Drosophila melanogaster: one gene and its partners. The protein of the gene in region 2 interacts with the protein of the main gene of each other region in a pairwise test. Each region holds a gene or a part of one and is shown on either strand. Other genes may lie near its edges.

What was found.
Region 1: the proteins of CG11367 (region 2) and CG30080 interact in a two-hybrid assay, tested with the Drosophila melanogaster proteins (one large-scale study listed by BioGRID).
Region 3: the proteins of CG11367 (region 2) and CG7272 interact in a two-hybrid assay, tested with the Drosophila melanogaster proteins (one large-scale study listed by BioGRID).
Region 4: the proteins of CG11367 (region 2) and CG13795 interact in a two-hybrid assay, tested with the Drosophila melanogaster proteins (one large-scale study listed by BioGRID).

Annotation. Positions count from the first base shown.
Region 1 is NT_033778.4:15,698,204-15,703,398, forward strand, and holds CG30080 (uncharacterized protein), read right to left. Parts: upstream 3,494-5,195; 5' UTR 3,473-3,493; coding exon 3,426-3,472; intron 3,370-3,425; coding exon 3,176-3,369; intron 3,121-3,175; coding exon 3,011-3,120; 3' UTR 1,661-3,010; coding exon of another isoform or gene 1,485-1,660; intron 1,416-1,484; coding exon of another isoform or gene 1,385-1,415; 3' UTR 951-1,384; coding exon of another isoform or gene 813-950; 3' UTR 523-812; downstream 1-522. Other genes in the region: CG42662 (uncharacterized protein), read right to left, coding at 813-950; CG46433 (uncharacterized protein), read right to left, coding at 1,385-1,415, 1,485-1,660.
Region 2 is NT_037436.4:22,726,136-22,733,979, reverse strand, and holds CG11367 (uncharacterized protein), read right to left. Parts: upstream 5,870-7,844; 5' UTR 5,570-5,869; coding exon 4,887-5,569; intron 4,215-4,886; exon of another isoform or gene 4,172-4,214; coding exon of another isoform or gene 2,567-4,171; exon of another isoform or gene 2,380-2,566; intron 1,968-2,379; exon of another isoform or gene 1,964-1,967; coding exon 1,840-1,963; exon of another isoform or gene 1,400-1,839; coding exon 1,238-1,399; exon of another isoform or gene 1,061-1,237; coding exon 941-1,060; 3' UTR 534-940; downstream 1-533. Other genes in the region: CG11241 (uncharacterized protein), read left to right, coding at 392-526; CG32454 (uncharacterized protein), read right to left, coding at 2,567-4,171; CG14450 (uncharacterized protein), read left to right, coding at 6,264-6,448, 6,503-7,436.
Region 3 is NT_037436.4:15,498,993-15,504,301, reverse strand, and holds CG7272 (uncharacterized protein), read right to left. Parts: upstream 3,365-5,309; 5' UTR 3,212-3,364; coding exon 3,042-3,211; intron 1,466-3,041; coding exon 1,060-1,465; intron 995-1,059; coding exon 884-994; 3' UTR 533-883; downstream 1-532. Other genes in the region: CG7857 (uncharacterized protein), read left to right, coding at 1-83, 145-488; CG7275 (uncharacterized protein), read right to left, coding at 3,794-4,349, 4,406-5,120, 5,173-5,242.
Region 4 is NT_033779.5:7,722,529-7,727,999, forward strand, and holds CG13795 (uncharacterized protein), read right to left. Parts: upstream 3,771-5,471; 5' UTR 3,568-3,770; coding exon 3,405-3,567; intron 3,139-3,404; coding exon 3,007-3,138; intron 2,946-3,006; coding exon 2,782-2,945; intron 2,722-2,781; coding exon 2,633-2,721; intron 2,517-2,632; coding exon 2,047-2,516; intron 1,990-2,046; coding exon 1,841-1,989; intron 1,774-1,840; coding exon 1,645-1,773; intron 1,576-1,644; coding exon 1,369-1,575; intron 1,310-1,368; coding exon 1,028-1,309; 3' UTR 517-1,027; downstream 1-516. Other genes in the region: CG13794 (uncharacterized protein), read right to left, coding at 1-117; CG13796 (uncharacterized protein), read right to left, coding at 4,969-5,229, 5,301-5,471.

The DNA of each region.
Region 1 (5,195 bases), on a different chromosome or scaffold from region 2:
TCGATCTTACATTGTTGGTTGAAAACCATGCTAAGCGTTGGTGATGTAAAATTAGGAGGATATGTATGTAGATTGAAAAATTGTTTAAATGCATTGTGTAATGTTTAAATAATTAAACATTTTTTAGTTTTGATAATACATTTTCTAGTAATTTTTTATTTATTTATTAAAACAATTTTAAAATACTGAAATACCGCAAAACTTAGTCGTATGTACCAATGTTCTTCATATCACTTGTAGCTCTTTTGCACGGAAATTTAATTTGCTCAAAACACTTGTTCCAATAAGCAAAACGTGATTGCTTATATTAGCTAAGGTCAGCTTCTAGAGTATGCCACGGATAAAGAAAGAAATTCGTGCTAAAGTCGTTTGAAATTGGCCCATTAAAAATGTTTTCTATAAACAAGTTCGGATCGCATGAAATTGCAACCTGTTTTGCAAAGAGTGCGAATAGCTCTTGCTAATCGATATTTCAGAGCCCTCCCGATCCCATGTTATCTGCAAGTTGAGCAAAATGGTTGTGTTCATATACATTGCATTTTATATTATATTTTCACACTAAAACTAATTTCTAAGTATTAACATTATAGCACATAAGTTAGATTAGTTACGATGGGATGAGCTATAGATAATTACACATGTTTCTTAACATTAACATTATTAACATATAACATAACATTATTTGTGCAGTTAGTTGATATGGCGATATGTCGTCGAGCCGGCAATATACACAACCGGTTTTTGTGCCGCACTTTCGAGAGATTCGATTGCATCGGACTAGGTTGAATCGATCTTAGTAGACCACGATGGAGCTACTGCATGGCGTGTCTTGGATGGATGTAGTGGGATCCGGAGTTGTTGTCCTCCCGGTAAATGGCGGTCATCAGGAGCAGCAGGGTGCCGGCGATCAGGGCTCTAAAGACTTTGTCAACAAATCGAATGTGCTCCATGTTCTGATGCTCGTCGACTGGTCGAAGCTTTGGAATTAGCAATCTTAGCGCGTCTGGCTTTGAAACGTTACTGAACGCTCGTCTTGATAGCGACCGGAATTTATTGCAGCTCCAAGCGAGGTGTTTTCCCCCTACTGAAGGTTGGATGGTGGAATTGCTGCGGCAAGGGTAGTTTCCCAGCCGCCGACTTGGAAATGCCCCAAACCCAATCGCGTTACGAGCACTTTACAATGCCACAAATTGTTGTATTTCAGAACTCTGAAACAACAAAGCGAAACCCCCCTCTCGGAACGAGATCGTTGACTGACTCTCTGCGTATCGCTATAATGAATTCAACTAACAAATTTTGGCATCGTCAACGTGCCAAGATTGCAAATCAAAAGCAATCTGTTTTGAAGACGAGGCGACGACGCATTTTCTTGGATCATTGCTCTTTAAAACTGACAGAGACTGGACTCGAGGAATCTGGAAGAATCGATATAGGGAGGGACATTTTTTTATATGTATATCTAATATCATTGTATCCAAACTTACCTAACATATTGCTGGAACTTGGGACTATGGCAAAATTGAATACAACTGCGCCACATGTTTTGCGAGATCTTTCGATATAAGGAAAGAGTATTTGCGGCGAGACTACTAGAGATCCGAATGGGATTCAAGGTCCAGTTAAGGGGAAAATCCCGCTCGATGTTCTGCAAGTGTGGCATCTCTCGATGAGTTCTCGTTTCGGACTGAGGATCAAGGACTATTTGATCTCAGGTAGGGGCGCAAGCAGCTGCATTTTCTTTGCGCCTCCAGATGCCCAGGGGTAGGTCATGTCCTTAAGAGCAGGATGGAGTGAGGATCAAATTCTTGTTACCTACAATTCGCAATATGGTTTACTCTTTAGATGTGTATCTAACCGAAAACCTCTTTATGCTAGTAATATGACTGATGAGCAAATCTTCTCTTAATTCAGTAAAAATTCAGCTTTAAGATACAATTATGTTAGCCGAAAACAAAGATATTAACAGAAATGGTATCAACGCATTCATTCTTCACCCTTTTTTATATTTAAAATAAATATTTAATGTTCTCTATCCTGCACTGCAGCATTATTTGTTTCTCTGTAAATTTAATCACTGCAATATGCAATCAAGCTACCTGTAATCAGATAATCCACAGAGATTCCTCTGAAGTTTGACTGTCTTCTGCATTCAGTTCATATCAGAGCTTGGTGGCGCAATGACGGTTTTGCAATTGCTGCTCCTGGTCATATGCCTTAAACTTGGTCAACAATCCGGACAAGCAGTTCCCTTTGGAAACCAAACAGAGAAGCCCTGTAAGTGCCAGCAGATGAGGGGTGACCTGTAGTAATGTTTCCCTCCCCAAGATCAAACATACTGCACCACCTACGATCAGAAGCCAGGCAAATGCTTACACTACAGAGAATGTTAGTGCATCGCGAAAATAGTTTCGAAGCCAAAGGACCAGCTGACCGCCAAGGACTTGGAAATAAAGAGGAATGCCCCTTGTTTTTCAAATTCTAAAGTGAGTGGTCATTTAACAAAGCGACATATGCTGATATTCCAATCTTTCAAAGAAATTCATTTGCTGTGAGGAATTCGTGCTGATTGCCAGTGAGAGTTCGTGCGGAGAATTCGGGGATCAGAAGATAACTGGAGGGAGCGAGATTCAAATGGGATCTCGACTTTGGATGGCCTTGCTGCAATTGAATCTTTCAAAACCGAATGAGAGGTTATCCTTTGCGTGCGGTGGCACGTTGATTAGCCCACTTATGTATTAAGTTAGTCCGAAACCAGGGAGTCTCGGTTAATATTTTAATATTAATATTAAATATTATTATTATTATATTATTATAAAGCAAACAAGATTATTAAATAGGTGACATTGATAAGATAATTCATGTACTTTAACATAAGCGAATAGGAAAAACAACTTAAGACCAATCTTACTTCGGACAGCCCCTAATGTTGAACGTTTTAGAGTTTATCAGGTATATTGCAACTAATTGCAAGCTCGTAGTTTTCATATGTCTTACGTTAGATACTTTCAAGCTAAATGGTTTGGTTATCTACGCTGAGGGCATCCACTAACTGGGAAATTCGTTGAGCTCGCGTCAATTTCCACGATACGCAGGACAAAGCCGTGATGAAGAAGCCAATCGCTATAAACCCAAAGTTCATCATAGGAACAATCAATTCAATAGCACTGTTACTCACCCATTAGGAGAATGGCCTCGGAAGTCTCATCCTGCCAGGCTTTTGAGACAACGCACAGTAAAATGAATCCGCTGAGCAGGCAAAAGGATCCAACTACGACGGCCAGTGTTATGAGTATGATCACCGGATCGTTTAGAGGACCATAATCAAAGAGTGTACGGCAGAGGGACGTTTTCCGGGGCATAGGAGTACCACTGTTGAATAAAAACTAACTAGTAGATTTGCTAATCCAAAACTGTGCACTACGAACCAGGCTTGAGAATAGGTGGGTAGAATGGGAACAGCTCTGCACTCCATGGCGCTCCTAAGGAAACTGAAGTTGGAGCTCCACACTAATGTTTTTGGGTGGCTGGCGGGCCCTACTTCTCCACATTCTAAATTTAGCCCTCAGTCGCGGCTGACGATCGCAGACGCGTGTCTGAGATTGGAGTTAGGGCGTTACATTATCTATTTATAGCCATCTAGGAAATGGTTCGATCCGGCGGAACTAGCGGAACAGATGTTTGAGTTCAGCCGGCTACTTCTGCAGTCACAATGCGTCTATTTTCGTATCTATTTTCTATGCAGAGTTCAATGCTCTGTGCGTTGAGCTGAAGAAGAAATCGAAGATCCCGAGAAGTCGTGTAATGTAATAAATCAACTTCATTACTGCCTCATAAACGTCGAAAAAGGAGGCGTGGCGGGGGCGAACAAGTGCGAATCATTAACTCGATGTCTCGAAGTTCACGTTTCGCATGTGCCAAGGTAGCGTTGACAACCGACACGCGCAGTTTCCCCCCGCATTTTCCGCCCATCACCGGCGTAGTTATAGAAATATACTTGGCTGCTGCATTCAAGCGAGCTGTAAATTATGCAAAATAACGACGTCAAAGTTTCAATATAATGAAGCCAACGGACTGGCGGGAGTTTCGGGGCCCGCAGGTTGGGGAATATTATAGTCTGAAATTTCATCCCTAATGTTTCTATGCCATTAAGCCAAATAGAAAACGAAAAGCAACTTATGTGCCATAATGTTATACCTTTAGATTCCATGGATGCATGAGGGTGAATTTAAAGTTTCATTTCATGCACGTACTTAAGTTTTAAATGGTTTCGAAAGTATGTGAAACGACTAGTTGTGAGTTACCATTAAATATATTACTTTACAATTGTTTAATTGAATTTCGGGTGCATGTAAAAACTCTAAGGTTTCTTTACAACAGTTGAATGCTAGAGGTTATAACATTTTTCCCCTTGGTTGTGGCCTGAGACCAACACTCAATCACTGCCCCAAGTCCTGAAGACATAAAAATCAAATCGAAGCCGTCGCCATAAACAATTATGAACTTTGTTGCACATTGTTGTCCACACATGGCCACACGGATCCTGCTCCTTGTCGTCGCCTTGGTTACATTGTAAAACGTTTTATTGTCGCCACCATCTGGCGACGATTTGTTGGCAGCAGCGCACCGCCGCCAGACGCCCAGCCACCCACTGAAACCACCGAACCCACCAGAGGTGCCAATATATCCTTTTTCTTGCTTATTTCAAACCCATTCAGCTAATGGAAAAATACCATTCCCGGTTGGAAAGGCATAAAATATGACCTGATATGTATCTAATTAGAAAAATTACTCCAAAATAATATTTAAAAGTTTTTTGATAATAATATTTTAAAATTATTTTGATAAATAACCGTACTTCTTTTTTTAATTTAACTTTTTTTGCTTATTTGCTCATCACTGAACCCACCCTAAAAATCCGATTTCAAGGTGTAAGCCGGCGGCACGACGACAACTGTTATGCTTATCGGATGCTTTCTGAATAAGAATAAGAATTCGGATGCGGATGTGGATGTGGATGGGACTCGAGTGCGGATCCCAGGCGCTGAGGCAAATTGCTGCTGATTGTCAGGTTCAGGCGACGCTGCGTAAATAACTGAAAGTGGTCCGAGGTGCCAACTGCCTTTGAGCCGGACCCAAAAGTTTGGCGAAGCACATTAGACGGCGATGGCCAAACTTCGGACCGATTAAGTTGGGAG
Region 2 (7,844 bases):
TGGACGGTTCGAAAAGGATAAATTATTGGTAGCAGGATATACATATAAAATTTTGACACAACATAAGCATTAAATACAAAATGACTGAAAGTATGCACTACATATATAGCACGTATTAAACGTGTAAAAATTGGGTACCAATGTAGATTTTCAAAAGTTTAAGCGCACGAACATTATTTGACAATTACCTTACAAGTTATTCCTAAAGCACAATCTTTTAGAACAACAATTGTTGTTTCAGTTTTAAATTTAGTACCTGGCCTTGACCAGTAAAAAGATCCCATGAAATGTAAAATTTCCAGATTACATTTTTTGATGCTACACTGTAGGACGGAGGGTCATTAATATAATAATAATTTTCGCATTATTTGAAGTTTCCTCTTCTCTTCAGGTGCTGAGCATGAGACCGCCACTGTGTCTTTGTGCCGAAGACGTGGAATTTGCCCTGGAGACACTGGAGGAAGCGTTTAAATTTCATATGAGCAAGAGCCCTCGCAGTTGGAGAAACAGCACAATGATGATGTAGAAAAGTTGTACTTTAGAGCTCATTTATTTGCTTATTCGCTTACAAACTAATAATTGAACAACATTATAGAGCAGCATTATGACCAACAATCGAGTCTTCGAGCTAGCGGTCTTTGAGCGAGGCTTTGACTTATTTATAAATGTACATCTCAGGAATTCTTAGAAGTAATGTGTGATGTGAAGCATGACACACCCTCATACAGTTTTAGGGAACGAGTGTGATTTGAATCCGTATCTGCTAAGGCTAGCTTAATGTTTGGTTTCAATGGCATTGCCTTGAGCATAAATAAATAAAACAACTCGAAAACCGCCTTAGTTTGAACTAGGTAATGCAAAAACGCAGTCTTCTGTTAAAGTCCAGGAGATTCTCTTTGGCTGGGGGTCCTGTAGGACTCCGTTCCCCAAGTGGCTCCTGTTAAACTTGTACGTCGGGATGCTTGCCCTCGTTATTGTAATCAGCGCTCAGCAACGTCTCAGACAGCTCCTTTCTGGCCTTCTGCAATACCCAGAACATCAAGGCCACGCCGCAAATTACCTTAAAGACACAAAAGACACATTGTGGATTAAATAACTTAAGATAAAACAAGATAATTAAACAAAGAGCTTGTGGACTTATTAAACAGCAATAATGAAGCAATTCAAATGTACAAACTCAAAAACTATTAGGCATATGATCTAAGAAGAGGTCAATTGCGATCCAAAGCGAACATACCTCAAACAGGAAGCTGATATACCCCGTCAGTTTGGTATCGTTATCACTGAGCACTTCATGCATGGACCTTAGCGTGGAACCCAAGTAAACATTGATGGTTTGGGCTGGCAGCAAACCAATCAGCGTGGCCACATGGTAGTCTCTTGTGTTGATGGAACTGATCTGTGAAAATAATAGTGTGATATAGAAACTAAATGGTTTAAGCGTGCCATGATTTAGCACCTAATTTTTAAGGAAAACTGGTTTTTGTTCAGTTTAACTGCATAGAAACTTGACGAATATGCACATATATTAGGTATACAACGTAACCGTCTCTGTATTATTCGTATAATTAGCTATTTAAATATTGCAGTATAAATAATTATTCATATAGATTCACAAAGCTTTGCAAAATTTTATTTACATGTCAGTGTGACGAATATTTGGTCCATTTTCAATTTGTTCCATTTAATTTTACGTTCGAATTCTTAAAGTTAATAAATAAAATTCTTGAAGTGACAAATTGGCAAACAATAAGAGAATATCTAGATATTTCGAACTCGCCCTTTTCTGAACAACAAGTTCAAGAATAACAATAGATCTGACAAAATCTAGTCACTTACTCCGAATATCACATTCTGCACTCCGAAGGGAATGGGGGTAAGTCGGGTAAAGAGAACGACTCGAAATGCCTTTGGGCCAGAAATGACGCGAAGAATGGCTCGTCCCGTATCATTCTTGATCAGCCTGCAAATAGATGCAATCGAACGGGTCTCATCACTTAATTTATTAAGTATACATATGTACATATATACATAATTACACCCAACTACTGACTCTAATTGAGTTTATCCAACAATCAGGAAATGATTATTGGGGCTATCAGCCAGTTCCACCGTTCGTCGATGAAACAGTTTACGCTCCCTCATAAAAATTGGTAGGCATTGATTTCATGCTATCACACAAATAACCTTTAATTAGGTGTGCCTATTTGGTAAATGTGATGTTAAATAAATGTGTTATTTTTAAAGAAAATTCATAAGCCTCTGTAATTGATTAATTATGTCCGCTGGGTATTGGAACCTAGTTTAGTAATTGTCGGAAATTAAAAGCTTGCTGCTATCAGGCGCGACAAATGTCTGATAAGGAGATCAAAACCGACTGAGCGTTAAAGGGGGATTTACCCAATGAGGCGGGTTTTAATTGCAAACGGGTTTAATGACAAATGAGCGTTTAGTACCTATATACAAAACATACAACACATTTATATGTACCGGCGATGTGGATACGCGATATCGATTTTGCGGAATAACTGCCCTTATCAGATATTCCTTGGGCAAATGTATTTGCTCAGTCGCCGTCACCGTGGCTTTGCAATTGTCGTGTGTCACAAGATCCACTTTGATCACCGTCATTCCGCAATCTATGCGATCTGGTTCGGCTTGCAGGTAGACAGACTTCTATGTCCTGGGGCTCGCTGGGGCAGGCGGCGGTAAGTAGATCCACGGAGTAATCATCCCGGACGTGCAGGGTGTCGCCAAGCTGACAAAGAATGCCCCGGAACTCGGGGTAGGCCTGGCAGCAGTCATCGGGAATAGAGATTGACAGCCGCAGCGACATCACGTTTCCGGGAGCGAAGGGATAGTCAAGGAGTCTGCGACTGGTGTCTCGCTTTCCCAGACCCACGTGCGAGACCACGACTGGGGAGCAGTTGTACTTGCGAGCCAACTCCACTGTCTCGGCTGCACTGCTGACACCCTTAGGCAACACGCGGAGCTCCCTTAGGTGCCGAGCCAGAAGGATTAAATAGGCGGCGTGCAGTTCCAGAGGTGTGCGGACGGCACCCTCACATCCTGCGTACTGTATCAACGAGCACAGATCCCGACGCATGTCCAACAGCGCACCATAAATCATTTTCTGGGGCGGCGTGAATCGCCCCGAGCTGGGCCAGCATCTGGCCAGTCCCCCCTCGTAGCCTCCGTACTGACATCCAGCGTCCATCTGCCACAGCCCATTGCCATCCAATCCGCACGAAGTTTTTGTCACGTCGGGACGAGCGTGGCGCAAACGGCACTTGTAGTCAAATGAAGCGGCCAGCTCCTGAGGAATCTGATGATGCTGTGCGATTACCTCCGCCATGGAGTCCGCAGCGGTGGCGTTAGCCCGACGCAGGGCTCTCAGCTCCCGCGAGGTCTTGACGGTGCGTGTGTACTGGAGGATGTATCGGGGATTGCCCATAGGAATCTTGGCTTCATTAGCCACCTCTTGCACTATACAACTGACAGGACTCGATGGGTCGTAGAAGTGCCATAGCTCGGGCGAGTGATCCCTTAACAGCCAGAGTAAACTTTTCTTAAGCATTGCGAGGGGCAGAACGTCGTCCACGTAGTGCATATGGCTAAAAATGGTGGACAGCTGGGAGTCCACATCCTGGGAAAGAAAGAGCAACGCGCCAGTATTTCGCTTTCGGCTGCGGGTGAGAACCAATGCTGCCCCTGGTCTCAAGCAGTCGCAAAGATAGAGGAAGTCAGGCCTCTGCCGAAAGGGGTAACTCCGAGCTGAGTCAGCTCCGGCCACCACAAGAACGTGCGAAAATATGCGGTTTTTCCTGTGCGGCTCTTTGAATGCGTCCTTCGCGTGCATATAAGAATTAAGGTCGTCCAGGGACATTTTTCGGTGCAGATCAATTTCATCCGGCAGGAGAACTCCGTCGGGCCGTGGATCGCTGCGCAGGTACTCGGACATTGTGGCGAACTGTCCGCCAGGGGCATCGCAGGAGAACTTCTCGATCAGGTCGGGCACTGAGAGCGGGCGGATCCTCTTGGTAAGCTCGGAGGGCCAGACCGTTGGCAGCACCAGAAGCACATCACTCCTATCCGGTGGGGCCACTACGGAACAACCGCGACGCACCTCTTGCCAGGCATAATACTTAAAATTTCGAAGAAACCGCAGCATTGGAGAATACAAAAAGCACACAGAGCAATGGGTAATATAAGGGCTAGATACAAGAAAGCGAGACTTATGGAAGATAGGGTTCCCTGATCGCAATAAATTTAAATATGTACTACTCGTAAAATGGGCATATGGACTCTGTAGCACTTGTCAATACAAAGATCAGTTTTCCGCTTAAAAGTATTAAAAATATTAACGTTTTGTGCGTGACCACTGTTTCTTGATTATTGGAGAGATGAATTTATTATTTAAAAACTGAAATATTTTTTAAGAAGTGTAGAACAGGTTACTGCGTTTGTGATCGCGGCAATGACTTAAAACCAAATTGCGCGGATTAGTTTGTTAAATCACAACAGACAAACGGACAAATGGAATCGGTTGGAGATCTTTATCAAGGATACATAGACACAATTAATTATTTTCAACGGAGTGTACCTACAAGAGCAAAGCGCATGACTTTAGAAGATAGTACACCTAATTTTCAACAGTTGGGGATTTGTATGCGTAGTATTTAACACTACTCAACGAACAGATAAATAAACTCTGTATTTTCAACGGAGCTTCGATTTTTAGCTTTTTAAATTTTACGCTTTATGCCGCTTATGACGTGTAAAAGTGCACAAATTAGTTTCTGGAATATCGAAGCAGTTTTAAACTAAAGACGCATAAATATATGATTTTAAGAAGTCGATGAAGTGTCACCAGACGCGCAACTCACCTTTGGACGGGAATGCGGTGCCGGCAGCTGCGAATGGTGGCATGGGCCACGGCTATGCCGATATTGGCGCCCAGGATCACGGTGACCCAACCGCGCAGGCAGCCGAACAGGTAACCGGCGGTGATGAGCAGAACGAAGTAGCCCACCACCACGGGGAAGCTGACAAGAGCGAAGAGCCCCATGTAGACGGCAAATGTTATCCAGGCGTTCTGCATTTCGATCCAAAAGAGCAATTGGCGAGCATAGTCCCGCGTCGCCCATCCGATGAAGACGAGGGCGCCTAGAATGGTGGCGGGCACTAAGCAGCCCAGGTACCAGTTGCGGGTGAGAAAGCTGTGGGCTCGTCCCCAACACGAGTTGCGCTTCCGGTTGTGTAGCACAGAGGTGGTGGCGGAGGAGCGGGTAGCTCTCCGACTGGCTAGAAACGGGTCACATTCGCTGTCCTCCGACGTGTCCGGTGTGCGCTGGGCGGCGAAGAGAGCTTCGGAGTTGCCGGCAGCCCCCACAATGCTGTCTGGTGGATCCACCTCCACGGCGTTGGAACAGCTGGCCTGGATCAGCTGAGGGAAGGCGGGTGCGGTGGAGGCGGGCACTGGCTTCTGCATGATGCAGTTGGTATCATTGTTGTTCGAATAGCCGTACGTGGTTTTGTTTTTATAGTTGTTGTTATTGTTGCATGACATGACCAGGATTTTCTTTTGGCCACAGCTCTGCCTTTCTCCGTTTTCTTTTCCACTTGTCGCTGTGAAATTTCACTTTTATGCACCCACATTCGCGCAAATACAGAGTTCTGAGTTTACGGTCGCATGTGTGTGCTTTGTGTCACATATGGCAAGGCAACCGAGTCCCAGAAACCGTTGTTGTTATTGTCTTAATTCAATTAAAATTACGAATTGTATTTATTGTTTATATATGTGCCACAGCCGCTCAACAATCGACGTACGACTGCCCACTCGACGTTGACGTTCCGACTGGAACTTCGAGTTCCCGCAGCGAGAGTGAAAGAGAATGTGAGAGGACAGAGAGCGTGCAGTGCTGCGATTTTAGCATTTTTCTTTAGCCATACTATACGGACTGCTCCAGTTTCTTCTTCTTTAAAAATTAATTAATAATGTGATTTATATTATATTTATAAATTATTTCCTTTGTAGTTTTACCTAAAATGTATAATGATTGCTGTGTGAAATACATGCCTTTTCTCTCATCTTTTTCACTTAACAATTAGTTGCTATAAATTGTTTGTAGCCGTCGATGGTGTAGCATTGTATATCGATTAATTAGAAAAACTGAAAAAATGAGCTTGGTCCCACTAACCGAACAGCTGTATAGACGATATCAAATTAAGTAACAACAAATATAAATCATATACTGGAAAATATGTTGTGCCGGCGATCATTGTTGGGCGTAACGACAAAATGCCTAAGACTTTCGTCCACGCAGCAACACAGATCGGGTCAGCCGGAATGTGACCAAGCCATCGGCCTCTTGCCCGCCTACTCGGATGCAGATCGTTTGAAGATCTTGAAGACGATTAATGAAAGCAGCATGAATCAGATAGCCAAGTAGGTAGCCACTCCTGCACTTTGCCTTGCACAAATACTGATTATCCCGCCCAGCTACGACATAACCAAGGCAAGGGCAACCAAGCTGCAAAACTGGAAGAACCGTCACGGACCGCTGCAGGAACTCAGCGACATCCTGTATGTGGAGGGATTCGGACTGAAGGTGACCACCAAGTTCTTTAAGAGTCTGCTTGCGCCGCCGAGCAGTGGGAGCGCACAAGTAGGGGAAAATAGACCAAAGACTGCACGAGTCGCGCCCTTTATAACACCGGCCATGGACGAGGGACAGCGTTCACGTATTGTATCTGCTGTAGGGGTGCGCATCGGAGTGACCAGTGTAAGCTGGGCGCGATTAAAGATCGGAAGCAACGAAGCTCCCTGTCTGCTCACGCACTGGCAGCACCATGAGCTGAACGACAAGAAGCTGCATTTGTCAGAACTTTCCCGCCGATGCCTCTATGTATCTCACCAGATACCCGTGGCCGATTGCTACGTCATGGAGAGTCCACAAATGGCCCAGGCCAGCAGCAACCCAGGGAGCATCGATCAACAGAACGTGAACATCCAGAAGGCCCAGGTTTCCGCAATCATGAGCTTCTCCTTGATGGCCCGATCAGATGGCGACGAGAACAAGACGAACAACGTCTACTACATGCGACGTTTTCTCTCAGCCCGACTATTTAATCACATGGTGGGTACTGAGCGCGTGTCGTCCGAGGATACGATATTGGCCATGATGCGAACCCATTACAACGTGGAACATCAGATCCCCGAAACAGAGCCCCCGTTGAAGCTGCACAAACAGATCGACTTTCCCGCTGACCTACGCCTCGAATTCTCACAACAAGAGCGCTACCAGCGCGAGCTTCTAGGCCAGGCACTTCTCCTCAGCTTAGCCTTTACTCGTCTCGTGCTTCAGCAAGATCCGCAAAGCATTGCATCTGTATCTCGCAACTCTAAAAACTCCTCTCCAAGTCGAGCCACTTAAAAAGCTACAAGTGTAAGAATATGAACTCGACTCTTTTTGGCCTTTGCACTTTGTATTATAATGACCCGTTGAACAATTTTATGCACAATATTTAACAGGGGTTTTAATAGGAGCAGTTTCTAATGGCACAACTGCATTTCCATGGAATACCATAAACATAGATTATTTTGAGCTTGGCCCCACTTAGCTAATTAGAATTTGTCGCCATCAAAAATATCATGTCTTTCTTTCATTACTGCCCACATATTAGGTCTTAAAAATATTTATTTAGCAGAACTAAAATAAATAAATACTTGATGCTGGCCCTGTCCGTTTGAACGAATTTATTTTTAAATACAAGTAATAGTATTTGTACAGTTTAATGCGATAAGAAAATTATCTATAAGGAATCATTGTTTCTTAGTCCAA
Region 3 (5,309 bases), 7.2 Mb from region 2:
ATTATCCCTTCACAATATACCCTCCGATGGCGACTGCTTATATCAGTCCATCAGACACCAACTTATCGTAAATGCTCTTCCAGGTAATGCTTCACGATTCAGTCCACACAGCACCAAAACTAATCCATAATAATTGCACCAAAGGTCACAGTGTTCAGGAGTTGCGGGAGGAAACTGCCAATTATGTGCGTGCTCACAAGGACTCGCTTATCTCATACATGATCCACCCGGAAACAGGAGACATTCTGAACGACCAACAATTCGAACAATACTGCCACGACATAGCAAAAACTCACGCTTGGGGTGGCCACATAGAACTGAAGGCCATCTCATCGCTACTCCGGGTGCCCATTGAAGTTATCCAAGCGGAAGGAGCACCGACGCTCCTGGGGCAAGAGGAATTCGGTGGATCACCGCTGATCATCTGCTACCACCGCCACATATACCAATTGGGTGCCCACTACAATTCCACGGTGCCAGCAGCCTAAACGGGAAATGCCCAATGGCATTTACCATCAACTCACTCGATTTTGTAACAGATTGTTTTATTACATATTATGTTGACTTTATAAATACGTATGCATTTGGAAGATTTGAATTATTGTCAAAAATTGCAAGTATGTAGTAGTTATATACAATAATAGTCAATATAATAACAATTCTAGGTTAGCTAGCAACTTAGTTAGCTGGATTTGTTCTAAGAAAATATTTCCTATATAGAAAAATAATTCGTTTAGCTCAAATTTAGTTTTCTTGTGGCGGTTTAGTGTAAATTCAAGCAATAATTTGATTATTCCTCAAAGCCTAGCTACTTATTACTTGGTAATGTTGTTGCAACAACCCATTATTTGTCCTTTTTTCTAGGTAAAGCGTTCGATTTCAATTATTTGTCCTTCTTGCTGTCCTTGGGCTTCTCGGCAGCCGGTTTGTTGGGATAAATAGCGAACATGGAGAGCTGAATGCCGCCCAGGACCAGCAGCAAAAGGTTCTGCAGCTGAAATAGAAGAATTTTCGGTTCAAATTTACATTCTCGTTTAATAGAATTAATTGCTAACTTACCACCATCACAGTATTCTTGATGGAGATGGCATACAGCGTCCAGGAAAATGCCACCAGATTACCGGCAAAGATAATCGGGAACGGCATTCCCTCGGTGCTCTTCTTCTCAATGATTTTCGGCAGATGCAGCAGGGGAGAGCCCACCATCCAAACCAGGATGCCGGTGATCAGCATTCCCAGGCGGAACTCAATCTTGGCGGGATCCTCGAAGTTGGCATACGCGGTGATGGCCAATAGGAACACCGAGGAATAGCCAATCTGCTTCCAGATCTTGCTCCTGCTGGCGCTCGAGGCGTAGTAGTAAAATCCGAAGAGGAAGACGAAGTTTATCACCAGGCCGATTAAATTCGTATTGATCATGGCAGCATCATTCATAATGTTGGCCAGCTTCAAGCTGAGAACGGTCCTAGAAAGTTCAACAATTTGTTAATTAGTTACTTTAATTTAGGACAAAATTTGGTTTTTATATTTAAACAAAAATGTAATACTGTTACCATTCATATTCATTTTAAAATATTCTTCAATATAAGGCTGGAAATTTTATAAATTCCAGTTAACTTGTAGATAAGAGCATAGTTTTCTGAGGATATTATAATTAATTCAAATTAATTGACCCTGCCCGAACCAGTTTTCCAGCAGTAAGTCGCTACAGAAAGTTCGAATCAAGAGAAATGGAACTAGTTTTCATTTAAAGTGCTCCAGTCTACCACTTCATTGAAAAAAAAAACCAGTTTACACTTATTAATTGCGTTATCAGATTCTATACTAGGTGGAGATAGATAAATAAGCATAATAGGGCCGGCGTGCAAATCATGGTACACGTAGCATTTGATAAGGAGCTCAACGCTCAACAAATAATCAGCATTATCATCGATCAACCTATAAACAAACCCACAACAATGGTGAAATACACCCGGGCTGGGCGAAATGAAATGCAAACTGGCCGAGGAACCTGCCCTTGACCGAGACCTCGAGCGCCCATTGGGTGGAGTGGAATTCGTTTAGCATACAACTGTTGCTTCGCTTGCATGTCTGCGGGTCCTTACACTTGACACAGTCCAAGTTAACACCTTCCGGAAAACCACCCCCAAGTAAGCCCCGGCGCAGTGATGGCACACTCACTTGATGGTACTCATTCACTTGCTGCCATATGGCACTTTATGATCTTTTGAGATGTTCAAAACAAACAGTGGAAAGTTTACGATTTAAAAATAAAAAGGTAAATTCCTCGAGAGTTCATCTACATTTAGTGCTTTAGCCAGCAGGAATTTGGAATTGTTTAAAGAAATGTATTATTACGGAAACTATAGTTAAAAAAATATTATGTTTTGCTAAGCAAACACTATTATTCATATGCAGTAATGGACAAGCCTTACGGCTATAATTAGAGAAGATTATATTTATAGATGACAAGATATTCCCATCACCACCACTGGGTGGCCCACCCCCTTTGGAATCTGGGCAGCCCCGCTTTATGCCGAGCACGTGGAGAGGGCGAGTCGCGTATCTTTCGCCCGTCGTATAAACGATTAGCGGCTCTCCCAGATTTGGACAGACTCTACCGGATCAGCATTCGTAATAGAGGAGCTCTAAAATTATACACTCTAGATAAGAGCTACGTGTTTGGAGGGTTCTCGCATCGATAAGGCGGCAAAAGTGCTGCTGGCGGATTTTCGACAAGGTTAACGATTTCGAAATGTAACGGTCGCGGATGATCGAAGTGTAATTCCCATTTGGCCAACGCAGTGATGTAATCGATTCCATTGTTATCTTCTTGAATTGTGTGCAAAACCGATTCACTGGCGGCCTTGAAGAGACTCGATTCTGTGCTGTCATGGCGACAGTTCTAAAATTTAATCAATTCCCACACAGATGCGTTGGCTTTTGTTCTTTTCACTCGCTTTTCCTGCCCCCTGCCCACTAGTTTTTTTTTCGATGTCGCATGCAGTGGAGCATCACGGAATCCCAATTAGGTTACTTACAGCACCACTCCGAAGAGAAATGGGCCCACCGGGTAGACGTCGCTGCTACCCTTCTTGCGGATGTCGTTCATCAGAACCACTCCGGACAGAAATTGCAGGGTAGTTATGGTGCCGGCTACCTTGGCGATTAGTTCGCTGTGTGGCGCCAAGAGATCCCCCAGTGCCTCCATGATTTCAATGACTCTCAGTTGATGCCTTTCAAACGGGTTATGTGGGAACGGGAGGGGGGCCGAGTGCCGCGCGAGTATAAACAAATGAACGAAAACAAAAACTAACGACCGACTGGCGGCTGCCGTAACAACAAACGAACAAATACTGAGCACCAACGGTGGGGCTGGCAACCTTTTATAATCGAGAATCCCCTAGAAATGGACGCGTCTCTCCGATTTTCCCCAAACGTTATCGCCCGCGAGGGCTTATCGGATACGAATTGAATTTCAAATTTCCGCGAAACGTTGCTGCATGGCAAAGCAAATGAGTTTTCTCTCTAGAGCAACAGGAGAGTATTCCTTAGAACTTATCAACATCTTCTTTCTTCTAGTATCACTGAATTAAAGCCAAACAATAGTTTAAACTAAGCAAATTCACTGATAACTTCGGTTTGACTTGACCAAACTGAAAGTCACTTGAGAACAATGATAGAAAGTGAGAAACTCAATTGAGATTAGGCTTCTTAATATATACATACATAGTCTCCTTACAAAAATCAATTTTATTCAAACTTATCCAACTACAGTCGTTAGCAATCATCCTCACACCTCCTCCTTCAGCACATGCTTCTTTTTCTCGCTGACGTAGGGCACCTTCTTGCTCTTCTTGGTGTGCTTGCGCACATTGGCCTCCTTGACCTGCTCCTTCTCCTTGACCGTGCGCATCTTCTTCTGTGCATTGAGCACGTGACGCGGCACCTGGCGATGGCGCGCGATGCGCTTGATCTGCGGATGAGCGGCATACTTTTGCTTCAGCGCCTCCTGGTAATTGAAATTGACGCGCTCACGTGGACGGATGACGCCCAGCTTTTCGGAGGCATTCGCCTTCCACATGCGGACGTTCATTTCGTCGGAGCCGGAGAAAACGTATCGATTATCGAGGGACCAGGCCACGCAGACCACATGCTGCATGCGTTTTGTGTGGTAAATATCCCGCGAGTGACTGTGGTGGGCATTGTAGATCCGAATGGTCTTGTCGTAGCTGGCCGAGACGAATTCCTTGCCAGTGGGCGAGTAGTCAACATCGGTGACAGCGGAAACATGGTCAAAGTGAACCTTCAGCGGCGTTTGCAGCTTGCGAGTGTCAAAGGTATAAAGGCTGTAAGAAATAAAGATTTTAGCAACACATCCTCTTCGTATGGCCGTTTTACTCACTTGCAATCCTCGTTGGCCACTGTGAAGTTGAACGCCTCCATGGGATTCCACGCGAGCTTGTTGCTCTTCATGGTTAGGACGACCTTCCTTAGTGGCTGCGCCTCTCTCTGATCGTACAGGATAATGCTGCGATCGCTGGCACAGCACGCCAGGATGCTTGTTTCCACGGGGTTATAGGATATGGTGTGAAGGGTATCGACGCCCCACTTCAATGTCTTCAAAGGATCGTTGTGCCTTTCGTCCCAAATGGCGCATACCTCGCCACAGGTGGCGAACTTGTTATCCCTGCGATTGTGCGAGATGCCGTGCAGTCCAAATTTACTCAGTATAGTGTTCACCGGCACCTCATCCTCGCCGACTTCCGGAGCCTCTGCTTTCCAAACCTTGATGGTTTTATCATCTCCCACGGTGAAAATGCGACCTCCGTTCTGGGTGTAAGCAATGCCGCGAACGAAACCGTCGTGGGCCACAAAGTTCCGAGAGCTGATACGATTCGCCAAGTCCCAAATGCGCACTTCGCCGTCATAGGCGCCGGTGGCCAAGGTGGAAAGTTGCTTGGGATGCTTTCCGAAGCAGGAGACTCCATCGCGATGCCCGCTCAAATTGCAGACGAAGGGTTTGGCAAATACTCGATCCAACTTGGTGGCATTCAGGGCACGCACGTATTCCCTGGGACCCTCCAAAGGATGCAGCGAAGGATCGTAGTTCCTGGGCACTGAAAGTGGCATTCTTATAATACTTTGGTCTTTCTTCGTATATGAACTTACTTTTGTGCTGTTGCAGTTTGGTTTCTCGGACATAGTTATCCGGATTGCGACTAATCATTTTCACCTTCATCCTGATTGCATTTATTAAGCTTTTCTGCGGCGTAAAATAAAATTAATCGTGAGTTTCGAACATAAAC
Region 4 (5,471 bases), on a different chromosome or scaffold from region 2:
TTTAAGGGCTAATCCAAAGCAGGCAAATATATAGTCGGTGGGCTTATCCCACTTTCCTCTCTTCAAGTCGGGGGAAAAGGGTTTGTGCCCACTATCATACGATGTTTCATATATCATTTTGTGACGTTAGTATAGCCCGGTAAATTGTGTGAGCAAAGGAATTTGAAAAACTTTTGTATAAAAAGAAATATATCCAATTTCACACGCCGATGGAGGTACTTATTATTAAAAGCTTTGGCAAACAACAAACATTTCGCGAGCGTTTTAAATTGACGAACTAATTAGTAGCAGCGATGCGGACGAACTAAATCCGATTCCGCTGATAAACCGCAGTGTAGCTGATTCCACTGGACTGAGATGCTCATAGCCTATCCCGGACCATTCACACTAGATCGGCCATCAAATACACTTTTAAGAAATAATGTTAAGCATAATTTTTTGAATAAATAGTCGGTATTACTTTGTAATACTATGTAATGTGAACAAGTTCAAACAGACAGTAAGAAGATCCCTAATAATTTAATGTAATATGATGTATATTAATTTGGATATGTTAAAACAAACATCTCAATGAAACTAATACCGTTCCTAAAAGTAGTGAGTCACCGAAGTGGCATTCTGAAATTAAAAGGCATTTCTATACACTAACATGACGTCAATAAGAGTACTTTGCTTATAACCATAATTAATCAATAACTACATTAATAATTACACGTTTTTAAAAGCTCTCTCTCTCTCTCGATAGACAAACTATGTAAGCATTATAATTGTGGACGTCACAGATTTTTTAAGCTCAACTTTATTAACTTTTCCGAGATATCTACGTTTCTCTGGACAGTCACACGTGTGAACCTGATCGATTCAGGTGAGATAAACGCTGTAAAACCCATTGCTGTAAGCATAGTGCAATAAGTGTAGCATTTCCACCTTTCACAATATGATTGTATATATATGCATACCTTTTTTTAAATACGCATTAAAATTACTCATATATTTATATTTAGTACATTTCTAAGTGCATCAGTAACTAGTTGACCTCCTCAGTAACCTCGAAGAGTTGGTGGGTCATCTCCGTGTTGTCCACAGCTTCCTCGTACTGCTGGCGGTGCTCCATCTCAACCGGATACCAATCGGTGGGTCGGCAGGTGCGTTTAAAGCGTTCGCAAAAGGTGCCCGTGCTCTGGTAGAGGTAGTAAAATCCATATCCAGGAATGGCCAGAATGGGCAAAACCACGAGGACAATTGACATCACGAAGACCACTGTTGTGGAATAAGAGTGCTCCGATATGGACAGAGCAATTCCCGCGAGCTAGTTAGTTAAAAGAATATGATTATTCAAAGCAACAAGCAACTAACTAACTAACTAACCAGACAAATGACTAAAATTATTGGAGCTATAAAGCGGAGTATGAAAACCTTCCAGGAGGCAAAGGGCTGGCCCAACATGAACTCAATATCTCGCTGGAATCGTTCGCGACCATAGATCCACAAAACCACCAAAAGGAGCAGTAAGTGCAGCAAACTATGTGAGAAAATGGCATCAAGACCCAAGGCCGAAAAGAAAATAATGCCATGCTAGAAACGGAAAATTGTTTAAAATATTTCTTAATAATATATCTTTTTTGTGTAAACTTAAGTACTTACATTGGTGCAAAAGTAAAAGGAGCAGAGTGCAATACCTCCAATTAGCCCAAAGGTCACCTCTTGTTTTCTCACTCTAAGTACTTCGAACTCATCAAACAAACTTTGCAAAACCGTGAAGATTTGCGTCGTCTGAAAATAAAATTATTTAAGTTTAGTAGCGTGAAAAATAAAAATTAATTGTGTAGATTATCATCACCATCACAATTAGAGCAGCAATTAAAAGCATAGAATAGTATATAAAAGTCCATAGGTTTGGCCAAGCCATTGTGGACAAGGCAGAAGCACTTGACAAATATAGCAGCCAATGGCTCAAAACATGTCCGTTATCATCAACATCGGATAGTTCTGAAAGGGATAACTTCAATACAGTAAAGATATTGCAAATCTATAAAGTGCTATTACCATTAAAGTAGTGTTCCAGCATAAAGGAAACCATGCCAAACATGATATAAATGAAGATCTGTCCAAAGGAAATAATCCAACTATACGACATGATGTCAGTCTTGAAACCGTTGAAACTGGACAGAGTTATTACACTGCCCCAACCAGCTCCGAATGCATGAAGAACCATGATGAATGTGGACACTACTCCCATGGCCATGTCACTTGCCTTTGGAGTCACATATCTGTGGAGCCCGTTAAGAGCTCCCGGAAGGAACAGGAATCGCACAAAGCACACTAAAAGAAGAACCAGGGTAACAATCACCATGTAGCGTATAAGTTTTCCAAACTTGGCCGTCTCTGAGAATTTATAAAAAATAAATGCAATCACAACCCAAATGATTGCGAATAGGCCAACAAAATGCCAAGACAACTCGTAATCCTTATACCAATCCGGAACCGCATCCTGTTGCATGCTATCATAGTGATTTCTGTAAACATAGAGTTAAAAAGAAATTATTTTTAAACAATTCTTAAAATAATATTAAAATATTTGCATTGGATTAATTAGGTAATGTTTTATTGCTATATAAATAGGAGCACTTACTGAAAATAGAGCACGGATGGTACATGGAGCAGCTGGTGAGATCTGTTGTATTCCGAAAAGTCCTCCAAGATCAGTGTCTTATTACAAGACTTAAATATAAAAAATGTACTTAGTCTTCAATTCAATTTAGTCATACACAAATTTCATACACTAGATAGCGTTGCACTTCCATTGTGCCAAGAACTCAAGCCCTCACAGCTCCAAGGTAAAGTGGGTCGAAATGAGTTTATTATGAACAGAAGTGGAACCGCAGCAAAAATGCTATAGTAAATTAGCATGGAGATAGTTAAAAATCCACTCACATATCCCATGCCTGAAATTGATATTTCGATCAATATTTAATATCTGTTTAAACTTCTCGGTTACGTACGTACCTTTAAAGAAAGGCGACAGGCGAAAGGCGGAGATGAATCCACTGCTGGAGAACTGACCCATGAAGGAGTGAATGACCATGATGGGAACCAAGTAAATGGACATATATACAAAGTACGGCAGTATTCCAAGAACTGGTCCAAGCAAATAGTGTATTTAAATAAATGCATTCAAAGATAAAGATTAAATTCTGATGTATAAACTGTTATCTCTTGTGCTGTATAAAGAGACACAATTATTACATTAAATACATAAATATCGACAGAATTAGGCATTGTTTTGTATGTATGTCAGATGAGAAGGTAAGAGAACATTAGCAGAGCACCGCCCCTCCACAGATTAGTCTAAATCCGAACCTTATCAGCAATATAATATACGTAGTCGCCCTTGCGTTACTTACTGCCCATGTCGAAGAACATCCAAAACGATGCCACAAAGACATCCAACTTCAAGGCTAATCCAAAGCAGGCGAACATAAAGTCCGTTGGCTTATCCCATTTTCCTCGATTCAGATCGGGGGAAAAGGGTTTATGCCCGGTATCATACGATGTTTCATATACCATGTTGAACTACCCACAATATTACCGCCAAAATGTGGGCGAGAATGGATTTAAGCAAATTTTGTAAATAAGTATATATAACTACGATCTAATTTTACACTCCCGCAGAGGTAATATTAGTATATATATATTTTTTTTCTGCAACCGATCCGCGAGCGTTTTACTCTAAATTGACGGACTAATTAGTAGAACCGATGCCGGCAAACTGAATCCGATTCCGACAGCAGGCCTCTGTTTAGCTCATCCCTCTTGAATGAGATACCCCAACTTAGGCGATGCACACTTGGTCTTTAATCACACAGTTATTACTATGGAAGTGGGGTATCTTTATACCGAGATTCATTTGAAACCTCCCTCTAATTTCAAACAGATCTGTTGTCAAAATAAAGATATGCTAGGAAAATATATATCTAAGCGAGTTATCTATAGTTTCAAGCTTTCGGTTATCAAAATAATTGTAAATTTGTTATTACACGTTTTGTAAGTGTATTTCCGATCTCGACCATAAATTTGCATTTATTGTTATTTTGCTTTAAATTCAGATTATTAGAGCTCTTATATCTGTGCCTGTCTCTCTTATGTGCGCCTATCGTCGTGCATTGCCAAGTTCATTTCGATTTTGGAACTGGAAACTGATATGGTCGTGCTCGGGAAATGGGATGACAAACAAGACAGCCGCAAAGTTATCAAATCTGGGGGAAAACTCAGACAGCAATGCAAAAGCAAGTAAACCCCATAACGCCCTGGCTGTTGATTTCAATAACGCATTGATAATGTCTTAATATTTGTTTTTTCTTATGTTTGTTTGTTATTAGCGATTAGTTTTAGGTAATAATATACAATTACCTCATATATTTTTCAAACTATTATTATTTTGCATGCATTTAAAAACATGCTTCTAACAATCTACTCTAAACGTCATATATTCTATAACTAAAATTCCAAAATTATTATTATTATTAGTGCGACATTAAATAGTTTAAAGTGCTGACAGCCGTATATCATAAATTTAACTCTTTTCCTTATACGTTTACCAACTTCAAAAAAAGACTTCAACATTTTCAATGCCTAAAAGGTAAAATTTTATTAGTTCATAACAATATTTTTGGCCGAAGCTTGTTGAACATTTTAGTAGGAAACTACTAAATATCACCAGTATATTGTTCACTATAGCTAGCTTTTGGAAAATATCAGTACAACTTCATTACAACAACTAACAATCGCCATTGCCAATGGATCCGCTTATTTATATACTAGTGTGCGTGTTTGTTATTGTATTTTTTGCATGTGTGAATGTGACCGCATATGGGTGTATAATAAAAGTGAGTTCAGTTCAGTTCATTTGTCAAGTGACGACGCTGTAAGTATTGAGTTTTGATCTAGGGAGTATTCGATATTTAGGCACTATGTGGTGTTGGCATTGGCATCTATAACCAGCATCTCCGAGATGCCCATGATTTCCTCGTAGAATCGCCGGTTGTCCGCATCCACCGGATGCCAGTCATGTGGTGCGAGGCACTGTTGCAATCGCTGGCGCCAATCGCCATTCGTCCGACATACCTTGTAAACCATATAAGATATGGCCGTTAGGAGAATCAAGCCCTGACTCACATAAATCAGGACATCGTGTATGCGATCACGCGTAAATAAATAGGTTAGTTGAAACTGCAAGAAATTCCAATAATATCAGTCATTAACTATATACAAATAATTTTATAATAATAACCACTACTCACCAGACACAGTCCCAGAAAAATGGGCGTGGCAAAGCGTATAAAGAAAATTTTGAAACTTGAGATCGTTTTGCCTAACATAAACTGCAAGTCGCACTGGAAACGAACGCGTCCATAAACCCAAGTGGTCATCAGCACAAGGATTCCCGAAATAAGCAAGTGTGTAAACACTGC